Linked DNA regions of Arabidopsis thaliana. The protein of the gene in region 3 interacts with the protein of the main gene of each other region in a pairwise test. Each region holds a gene or a part of one and is shown on either strand. Other genes may lie near its edges.

Region 1 (3,755 bases), on a different chromosome or scaffold from region 3:
CCTTACATAACGTTGCTTCCTCTATCTTGCGGTTACGGGGTCTCAACCGCTCTGCGAAAAAAGCTTCGAGAGTAACACCACCATCCTTTAACCTCGTGCTTGTGGTAGTAGTTCCTTCTGTTTCTTCTACGGATTTGTTGTTCATCTCAGTGGATCGTTGATGATTCTTCCTCTTATCTGTTGCAGCCGCAGAGTTTACTACGTTCGCATGAAATTTCTCCCTGCGTTGCCAATCAAAGATTGAAAATCTGAAGAAAGTAAACCCTAAGAACTAAACTCAAAACATAAAACAGAGAATCTGAAAAAACCTTAAATGCAGAACAGCAGAGCCTGATTCAATTCGGTTTAATCCGGTTGTTTTTGCGTTAGACCGGTTTCTATCTTGAATCACAAGACAGCGATTGAGGTTCCTTAACCTTAGCATTGACTGGTTAAATAATGTAATTAGAAAAACCATTTAGTGGATTATGAATAAAGTCACAAATATGTTAGTTATTTTTATCAAAATAGTGAAAATATAATTTACCTGGAGACGACCACGTTGAGTAAACCTAGAAACTGCGTTGCGTTCAAAAAGCGAATCCAATTCACGGTGGCGATCACGTTCCATTTGCATAAGAAAATCGGTAAACGCTTGTCGTCCTCGTATCTTCGGAGAGAAACTAACCACCGGAAAATTACTTTTCTCCGATGACGACGAAGTGCAATAAGGCCTCGGCGTTCTGATAATCTCGAGTCCACCGCCACCGCCGCTGCCATTATCTCCAGCGGTTCGTTTCTTGTCTTCGTTGCTAAGCCTCCGAATTAGGTCAGCGACTCGTCCCCATTTACTTTCTCCGGAATCAGAAACCAAACCATGTGACCTAGATTCAATCTCCACCGTTCGATCAGCAATTTCAGAATCTCCATCGATTGATGAAGATTCTGAAAGACCGGAATCTTGAACACTAACTCCTGAATCGCTCCGACTACTACTACTCGCCGTAGATTGACTGCTACTCGGCGAGTTTCCACCGTTGGATCGGTTTAGCCTCGCCTCCCATATCTGAACCAAAGAAGAAGCCACAAGATTGTCGTTTCTCTTCGATTCTAACGGAGATTCAAGAACACGATTGTTCTTGTTATTGTGAGTTTCGATCCAAGAATCAACTAAATTCTCATCGGAGACATGAGATTTCAAAACCTCTTTCACCGGAGATTTCAGATTCTTTTGAAAAACGCCAGCGTTTTGGTTACGATCTCTTAAGATTAAACCGAATCTCTGAGGAGAAGACACCATTTTTTTACGATCTAAGAATCGAACAAACGAACATAAAATCAAATAATCATTAGAGTTTTTGAATCGATCGAAAGAAGTTAGAGGACAACTCTGTTTTCTCTGTCTCTCTACAAGAAGAAGAGAAAATGGATTTGTGTTAGTGAAGAGACAGATTTTTCTCTCTGTTTTTTTTTCCTGTTAAAGAAACAGAACAACAACAAACAAACGGTGGAGATACGATGATGATGAAGAAGCAAAACAGAACCAAACAGTATTTGTGCTTATCTATTTAGTAAGAGGACTTATAAATGTTAAGAGTCCTAAAATGGCTCTGTTTTGTCCCTTAAACTGGGGAACGTGTCTGTAAAACAAGGCAATAAAGAATGAGGTGTAAGAATACAGAGAAAGAAAAGCCTTATGTGGCCAAAAGTGATAAATTGTTATAGAAAAATAAAAAAGCTACTTATAATTTTGGACAAAATTGAATTTGAAAGATATTGTATAACACATGTCATTATACTGGTAAAAGCATTTAATTGTGTAATGCATGAAAAAATTAACATTGGATTGTTATACTAATTAAAGGGTGATTAAATTATTTAATAATTAAGGCTCCTAAATATGCTAGAGTCAAAAAGGAGCCGTTGAGGAATTTAGCCGTTGTCGAGTGGGAACCATGCACTTTCTGGATTTTATGCCACATCATAAATCAAATTGAAGAACTAAAGATAACAAACAATTTTAAATTGTATAACTGACAGGAACAAAAACTTTTAAGCAAAGTAAAAATAATTTAATTAGAGAAAATTAGATGTTCAACCCAAGTTTCATGTAGTGTGCGATTTTATTGTAGTGTGGTCAATAGGCCCAGGCATAGTGGTCAATGTCGTGCTTGGGTTAGTCGAATAGAGAGAGAACTTAGGACGAGTTGTGATTTGTGACTCTTATAAAACGATTTAAGAAAAAATAGTCTCTATACAAAATAACGATAATTGAAACCAATAATAAGGTTCACAACCGATCATTTTCGGATCCCGATGAGTTAACGATTAGTCAACGATAGAGTAAAACGACCGATTAATCGAGACTTAGTGTCTATGATATTGGCACATACGACATATATTTCGTATATATATTTCAGGTAACTGGGTATCGTTTATATTAGTTGCGGCATATGTGATAATGTATTCTTCCACACTTCGTATAGCTAGCTGACAATCTTTTTTCTTAAAGTTTAAGTATTAGGAAGTATTATCCGGTAGATAAAGAAGATGGACGATTGAAAAAGCGATTGATACGATTTTTCTTCTGTGATTTTTCCGACCGGCCGGCGTTGGTTCCGACTTCGATTGTACTCTTTTCTCCTTTATAATTCTAGCAAATATTAGTTTACATACATATATTTCAGTTATTAACAATGAGTTCTAGAGAATCAACTGCTTTTGGTTGGCCTCTTTTCACACTGTTGGCGATTTTCATGACCCAAAAATTGAGTTTTCTACAATTATTTGTAAGAAATATAAATTATAAAAACTAGAAAAATATATGAAAAAGTTTAAGGTTTTGACTAGTGAGAATTTGTTGTATAGTTCAAAAAAACTCAAAATTTGAACGTTTGAAAACTTGTTGAGATGCATCAATTTTCAATAAACGTAGCCTATGGTGAATTGTTTTTTTTTTTTTGTCAACATGTCTCTAATGGACCTATTTTTCCGTGCTAAAAAATGTGCAGAGGTAATATCGCTATTTTTGTTAGAGGATCTGAGCAAATTCATTATTAATGATTGTGCAAAAAATTTGTTAATTTCGATATATCACATTTTGCTTTACGGATTACTCGAAAACATACTTTGATGTCATCATCCAGTGTATATATACGTATGTTAATTGTAGACAACAAAATAAAATAATAATAGTCTCACATAACCGACCAAAAAACAAACAAAATTAAATCAATGGAAGTTGTTGACAAATAAATTTTACAATTAATCTAATCCAAATAAGTCAAAACCCTGATTTCAGTAATGTAAAGATCATTATATCATTTTTTCTCTTGTAAAAAGGTTTTTTAAAATTATACTATTAATATATATCATTTGATCAAAAAAAAATTATATATCATAAACATTATATACGACATGCAGGCAAGTCACTCGAATATTCAAATCTTAAAGTTGTGCCTCCCACGTAAAAGCATCACATTAGTTTCCAAACCCAATTGTATATATAAATTACTACACAACACACCTCTCATCAAACAAATTCATCAAAGCCAATCAAATTGAGAGAGATATCAAGAAAGCAAAATAATGAAGTTGGCCGTGGTCTCAGTCGTTGTCATACTCGGAGTTCTCGTGGCTTGGCCGGTATCGGCTGGCCGAAAAGACTTACCTGGAGCGGGAGGATACGGAGGCGATGACGATGATGATACAAAGTCATTGTTCCCTTTGGACAACCTATTATCGTTGAATTATTATGATAGGATTTGTCCAGATTT
Region 2 (3,755 bases), on a different chromosome or scaffold from region 3:
CAATGACACCAAAGCAAAAATTGCCAAGTGTTTCATCAGGTAAAACAACATACATCAGAAGCTCGAAGCCGGCAAACTCATGGCAAATTGAGCATGCTATTTGCAGCTATATACGCAAATACTAAAATCAAGAAACCATAGTAAAGTACCAAACGTATTAGGGTGAGGCTCTTCCCCACTAGATGAAGAAGCATCAATGCCAAGTGACTGCATTTTCTTTGCCACATTCCTCCAACTCGTTGTCTTTGATTCATGTTTAGGATTCTGGCGAATGTTGAACAGAGACTCCAACACTTTTTGTGGAAGACCAAGCTCATCAATTCCTTGGGTAGTTGCAAAAGGATCTTGAGAACTCATGAGAGCTTTTGCGTAGTCCCTACCATTCAGACAAAGAAAAGAAAAAAAGGCCAGATATTTAGTTTTGACCTCGTCCACAATGTTGAAATTAAGAAATCATAATGTAAGTTTTGGCGGTCTCATGAGTAATTTAGATATCATGTGTTCATGAACTGAATCCTCCACCATGAAATAGTTCGTTTGTTGTTCTTTCATAGAAGAGGATAAGGACTAATTAAAAGATAAGGAGAGGTTGCAGAGAGCTCGTTATCTTGTAACTAACGTGTAAATCAACTCTGATAATTCCAAAATCAGTGAATTGCAATAACAAGATGAAAGCCTAAGAAGCAAATAGAAGTACCTTTGACTATAGTCTCCACCCCAGAAAAGTTCACAATCAGAAGTATCAGTATCAAAAGATGACTCTGCCAGCTGTTAAATAATGTCAGGAGATTGCACTTTATTTTATCGTGTAAGAAAACAAAATAAACAGATCTATGAAGATTAACAAAAAAAACAATCACTTACACTATCGCTGACTCCTATGCCGAAACATTTACCACTCAATGAATCATCAGTTGATGAAGAAGACATGTCAAGCAAGACATTCAAAGCCTAAGAAGAAAACGCTATTAAGCTTTAAAATAAATAGTCGGGCAAGTATCAGCATATTTCAGGAGCTTCCCTGTCAATATACTAAATACTTCCCCATGTAAGTTTGAAGACAATCTCTGCTTACCATGTCGACATCATAGCCACATTGACCTACAAAAAATAGATACTTCCATGTCAATTCATCGAACAATCTAGTCTCTCCTCATAACATTATTACGGCTATATTTCGAATATCGCGGACACATTAAAACGTAATCCTATAACTATTAAGGATCATACTTTTCTACTAACATCTTCTCCCATGGAAAAATTAACTGACTAAGAAGAAGAAATACTCACACAAAACATCTCTAACAACAGCCATGCTAAGCTCGCAATCATCTCCAAGCATTGAACTTAAGAACTGTTCAGCTTTCTCTCTATCCGCAGCTTTTTTCCCGTTCCCACAGAGCTCTTTAGACCGTTCCATCATAGGAAACTCTTTTCGCACAGGGTTTGGCTTCAAGTAATCCTTCGCAATCACAGAAGAAACCATCCCTGTAGCAGCAATAACTCTACTCTGCTTGCTTCCCTTAAACCATCTATCTCTAGTCAAATCTTCGCTACAGCTAGAACTTGACCCTGCCCCATACTCAGAGGTAGACGCTGTTTCCTGACCCGAAGAACCACTCGCCACCGAACTCGTCGACGGATCATCACCGCTTTCCACCAGATCCGATAAAATCTCAGCGGCTTTGTTCAGATCTCCGCCTGCTTCCTTATAAGCAGCCATCGCTTCCTCCATTGAAACCGAGCAAAAGGCTTCCATTAACGATTCGATAAAATTTTTTCCAACGTTTTCTATCTCCCTCTTTCCTTCACCGTCCTTCCTCTCTTCCTCCACATCTTTTTTGTTCCCGTCCGACGTCGTTCCATCACCGGAAGGTTTCGCGGCGCAGGATCGCTTCTTCTTCTTCTTATGCTGGTTCTTCTGCTTCATTATCGTACAATTATAGATGAAATCGTGTCAACGCCGCTTCAATAGAATCTCTTCCGATCTGCAGAAGAAACTTAAACCCAGATTTCCGACGAGAAGCGTCGGAGAGAGGGAAGAGGCGTTTTAACCGTAAATCAGGAGTTAGTAATGGAGATGCCAATATCAGAGGAAATTTTTTGCTCGTCCAGACTTTTGATTGGGAATCGGAATCGCCACGTCAATCCACGCGCCTGATCGTGACCACGTTTTAAATCCACGCGCACGAATCAAACACCGAACACGGTTTCCTCCTGATTGTACATATATTGAACCGGTTCAACTATGCACCAGTCAAAATTAGATCTCCCACGTTGACTTTCGTAATTTTATCTCAGATTTGTTTTTGGTTTTTATATTAACTAGATAATGTGGCAACATGCGAATAGCAAATCATCTTATCCAAAACTTTTAAAACAAAATTTGACATCTTCATTTCGAATTTTGAAACGCGGAGTTGATAAACAAACTTTGCGGGAACGACCAGAAAGAGCGTTTGAAGACGCTGGTCAACGCGTTTTATACATTAAAATTTCCAAAATTCATCAACGTGTTGAAGCAAGCTTACACAACTCAGAAGAGCTTTGTTAGTAAAAAAAAGGTGATTCAAGATTCGTATTCACAGGGACCGATCATCACAAGAGTGACCATTGACCAATAACTTTGGTTGAAGTTGAGAGTCTACGCATGAAAACCGAGCTGGACTTAGACGCTCATGGAACTCGTTGTGATCGTTGTTATGGCTGCTAGATATGTTACACTGCTTCTTCCTTCTCTGTACCTCATCCTTGACTTTCTGCAAATCACAAAGACATATGTCACATAGAAATAACCGATGAAAGGGATGAATCCTTGTGCAGTGCAAACACAAACGCTATAAATCTTCTAATTTGCTTAATGTTCACTTGCACTAGCCAATGGTTCAATTATTATCCAATAACGCCCTCATTTCAACAGATACAACTACAAGAGATACACAGAAACACTCGCAAATACATCAAGAGATCCATACTTTTGAATTCTCTAATTGCTTAACCACATTGTTCGGTGAATGCTTAAACAACACTTTTTCCTGCATCTACCCTATGTTGAATGAAACTGCTCCTAGATTAACAATGAAGTAAAACAAGAAAAGACTCTCTCAGCAGCTGTGACTCGACAGAATCTCAAACAACAACTGTGAAGATTTGACACATTTTCAGATTGGAAACCTATCAACATCAAATACAGATTCTAGTTCACCCGCAAGATATAGGTTTGGCTGTATTGAAAGTAAGCTGCAAGATGTAACAGAGTTCTTTTGCTAGGATTATGTTAAAGACATTTGCATATCACTATCATCGGCTCTAAAAGTTCTTACTACTGTCTATTAGATTTGCAAATCTCTCACAGCATGCAATTCAGTAAGCTAATACGAGACCAAAAAACAAACCTGAAGCATCATCAAATCGAACTTTGGCTGACCAATATGCTCTACAGTGATGGAACCAAAGAGGTTCCCTAACAATGCAGCATCAGGAACAGTCAAACCTTCAACAAGCCCAACAATCAAACCTCCGAGAAAGCTGTCTCCGGCACCGGTAGGATCCACCTGCTTCGCCAAGAACGGAGGAACCGTCATTTCATCATCCTTATGATAAATCCTACACCCTTTTTCACCATTAGTCACCACCACACAACACAAGTGCTTCATTTGTTCAACATCCATGAAAAGAGCTTCGTCTGACGAAGCTTTCAAGAATCCAATTCGATGCAAGATGTGATAAAATCCACTTTCTTTCAAATCAACAAG
Region 3 (3,755 bases):
CGTCCACTTTGATCTCAAATGCGAAAACTTACTTGTCAATTTAAGGGATCCACAACGGCCTATATGCAAGGTAACATATATATTGATGAAGATCGTTTTCCCCTATAGACTGAGAATCCTGAGAAACTGCTACTTAAGTATGAAACTCTGATTTCTACAGGTGGGAGATCTTGGCTTATCTAGAATCAAACGTAACACTTTAGTATCTGGGGGAGTGAGAGGAACTCTTCCATGGATGGCCCCAGAACTCTTGAACGGAAGCAGCACCCGAGTTTCTGAGAAAGTAAACTAATCCAACCACTATCCTATTAGTTTCACTAACAACACAACTCACATTTGTTTTCGATCTGAACAGGTTGATGTTTTTTCATATGGAATCTCGCTGTGGGAGATTCTAACCGGAGAGGAACCCTATGCAGATATGCATTGTGGAGCAATCATTGGTAAGTCAAAAACCATCACTCACAATTTCACTTACCTCAAAACAAAAGCCACTCTATGCTCATTTATTTCCTCTTTTTAAGGCGGGATCGTGAAGAACACACTTCGACCTCCTATACCAAAAAGCTGTTCTCCGGAATGGAAAAAGCTGATGGAACAATGCTGGTCTGTCGACCCGGATTCTCGTCCTCCATTCACCGAAATAACATGCCGACTTCGGTCCATGTCAATGGAAGTCGTCACTAAAAGCAAAAGAAGAGAAAATAAACCCTGACTTCAAAACTTCAGAAATCAAGAAAACGACGGGTCAGTTCATCGACATTTTCACATCTATCGAAAAATCTGCATATTTATTCTCATTCTTCAACTTTGTACAAAAACATAACTGTAAATCTCAAAATGTCAAATGTAAATATTATTGCCAACACAGAAGATGAGAAACAGATTTTGCATTGTAAGCACAACAAACTTTAGTGTCTACACATCCTTGTACACGAGCTGGTACTTTGGTATCCTCTCTGGCGGTATTGGACATTGAACAATCATCTTCCCTTTCATTGCTCCTCGATATATAGCCTATACATAACACAATAACAAAAACAGAGTATTTAAATTAGTAACAACTCTTTAAAAGCTTTTAGGAATTAATGAAATTGAATTGTTCTTGTTACCTCAACAACATCAATAAAGTCTTGTTTTATATGAAATGCACCAACCCATTTAGTATGATCCGCAGTTCTACAATATAACCAAACCGGAATTAACATAAACCAACCTAAACCGGCTTTAATCAGCTACTAGAACAAGAGATTAATTAATTACCCAGAATCCAATTTCATATGATGCGCATTGAAGAAGAAGATCGTCGAAGGAAACAACGTGATATCAAAATACTTCACATACACTTGAACATCCTCTGAATCAACATCAACCAAAGCTACCTTAGCAAATTTCGAAACATCTCTCACCGATTTCGCAAGCTGAAAAGAAAAATTCGAAAACTTTAGGGGTTTTGATTAATCGAAATTAGAGAAATCGAATTCAAAGAGAGACGAATTGAATACGATTTCATCATGCTGAAGACAAACGGCGTCGGAGGAACGACCAAATCGTAAAACAAGAACTTCATCAATGGTGTCTCTGATAACCCGATCAATCTCTTCCTTCGTCGTTAACGTCTTCAGAAGATAACTCATCTCGGCGTAAGAATTATACGACATCGTTTAGATAATATAACTAAAGAGACATAAAATAAAATATACGACGTCGTTTGATAATAATATAATACAGTAACTAAAACAGACGGAAAATATACGACGTCGTTTTTTGGTAATAATATAATAACTAAAAGAGACACAGATTAAGCGACGTCGTTTGTGGTAATAATATAATAACTAAAGAGACGCAAGTGCAAATGTTTTTGTGATAAAAACCATAAAAATAAAAATAAGTGGAGAAATCAAAATCATCGATTCTCCTTTGTTTCGCCTAACCCAATTCCTAAATCTCAGCATCTTTCATCAATCCAATCTCTCAAATAAGCGAGAGAGAAACAAAGATTATCGAATCCTTGGAGACGAAAACATACTCCAATTTGTAATTTTCTCGTCTTTTTTTTTACCTGATTTTGTTATACGTTTGATCGAAATCATTTGCTCTGATGGATCTCTGTTTTGTTAACCCTTTTGAGATTTGGTAGATATGGTTTTGAGGATTGATATATTTGCCGCTGATTGTCGTTGAAAAATTGTGAAATTTGATTTGGTGGTTTAGGGTTAAAATGAAATTATATGATGAGGAATATAAGAATCTGATTTTTTTTTATTAGATTCTCCAGATGTTCTTGTTACTTGTGATTGAAACTTTGATTTTGGGTTGTTGTTGTTTTTGAACTTTGGGGATTTTAAAGTTGAATTTTTTTCTAATTTATGCCAAAACGGTCTTCTTCTATGGTTTTGTATTGAACTGATGATTTAGATTTGTTTAAATCTCGGCTTTTGTATATTGTAGTGGAAGATTGAATTTTTTATTTCTTGTCATTGGTTATAGGTTTTAGTTTATTATGATGATGCCACTAGTTGCATGATTACTAACTTGACAGTGGTTTATATGAACATATGTGATAATTTTCTTAAGTTTGATTCCTACTTCTCTTTTGGGATTGTTGTGCAGGTTTTAGGACATTTGGGTTACCCTGAGGCTTAAGGAGAATAGTGGTTTAGTTATTTATACTGAATTTTGTGTCATTCAGACTTTCCGAGGATTTTCTGTTTGGTACCGTTTGCCTCGTCTGTGTTTTCATTTGAGCTGCATCTTAAAGTGAAAGTTCAGTGCTTAAACAGTAATAAAGTAGTATTTCAACAGGCTGCTAATAAGATTGCTCCCTTTCGGTAAGTTTGTTTTCAGCCAACTATCTCTCTTTGTGAAGTTAACAATCCGTTGCTTCTTGTGATGGTTAAGATTCCTCTGGTATGCTTAGTTTCTGTGCTAGTTTCTAGACTATGATGAGTCAGTATAAGATATCTATTTCTTCTGTTTTTGGTGTATCTTCATTTGTTCTTGCTTTGGTTCTGCTGCTACATGATTGTTTTGAAGTTTTGATATTAAGCGATGGTTTTGGTCTTGCAATGTTCCCTTTTTGGCAAAAAAGTAGTATTTATAAACCTCATTCAGTGTTTCTAACTTTCTCGATGCGTGAGTAGCTTACACAGTGCTTAACAAGATGGCTGGTGTAAAGCGAAAATTAAGTACCGAGTCAGATGTTCATGCTCTTCACAAAGAACTGGATGAGGTTTCATGTCCTGTTTGCATGGATCACCCACATAATGCTGTTCTACTGCTGTGCAGCTCTCATGACAAAGGTTGCAGGTCCTACATCTGTGATACCAGTTACCGACATTCCAATTGCCTTGACCGGTTTAAGAAATTGCATTCTGAATCCGCAAATGACCCTACTCCCGAGGCGAACTTGGCTTCAAGGGAACATAATAACGAATCTCTATACGAGCATGGTACAGCCAGTCGAAGCAGTTTTCACCGTGAGTCTGGAAACCGAGGCTCTTCTTGGGATTCCGAATCACTGAGGAGGAGGAGGAGAGTTGAGGAAGAAGTTGAGTCAGAAGATATCACAAATTTGAAATGTCCTCTATGCCGGGGTACTGTTTTAGGATGGAAGGTTGTAGAAGAAGTAAGAACGTATCTTGATCATAAGAACCGAAGTTGCTCCCGAGAATCCTGCTCATTTACTGGCAACTACCAGGATCTGCGCCGCCATGCCAGGAGGACTCACCCAACAACTCGTCCTTCAGACACTG

What was found.
Region 1: the proteins of AT3G24740 (region 3) and AT1G30860 interact in a two-hybrid assay, tested with the Arabidopsis thaliana proteins (one large-scale study listed by BioGRID).
Region 2: the proteins of AT3G24740 (region 3) and AT5G58720 interact in a two-hybrid assay, tested with the Arabidopsis thaliana proteins (one large-scale study listed by BioGRID).

Annotation. Positions count from the first base shown.
Region 1 is NC_003070.9:10,987,968-10,991,722, forward strand, and holds the start of AT1G30860 (RING/U-box superfamily protein), read right to left. Parts: upstream 1,627-3,755; 5' UTR 1,280-1,626; coding exon 527-1,279; intron 428-526; coding exon 309-427; intron 222-308; coding exon 1-221. Other genes in the region: AT1G30870 (Peroxidase superfamily protein), read left to right, coding at 3,568-3,755.
Region 2 is NC_003076.8:23,721,045-23,724,799, forward strand, and holds the start of AT5G58720 (smr (Small MutS Related) domain-containing protein), read right to left. Parts: upstream 2,132-3,755; 5' UTR 1,931-2,131; coding exon 1,291-1,930; intron 1,102-1,290; coding exon 1,076-1,101; intron 952-1,075; coding exon 865-951; intron 769-864; coding exon 698-768; intron 377-697; coding exon 150-376; intron 1-149. Other genes in the region: Mik (pfkB-like carbohydrate kinase family protein), read right to left, coding at 2,583-2,759, 3,396-3,755.
Region 3 is NC_003074.8:9,029,234-9,032,988, forward strand, and holds the start of AT3G24740 (cellulose synthase, putative (DUF1644)), read left to right. Parts: upstream 1-1,844; 5' UTR 1,845-2,037; intron 2,038-2,041; exon of another isoform or gene 2,042-2,613; 5' UTR 2,614-2,831; exon of another isoform or gene 2,832-3,143; 5' UTR 3,144-3,163; coding exon 3,164-3,755. Other genes in the region: AT3G24715 (kinase superfamily with octicosapeptide/Phox/Bem1p domain-containing protein), read left to right, coding at 1-70, 161-283, 356-443, 525-715; AT3G24730 (mRNA splicing factor, thioredoxin-like U5 snRNP), read right to left, coding at 919-1,017, 1,113-1,179, 1,264-1,421, 1,506-1,661.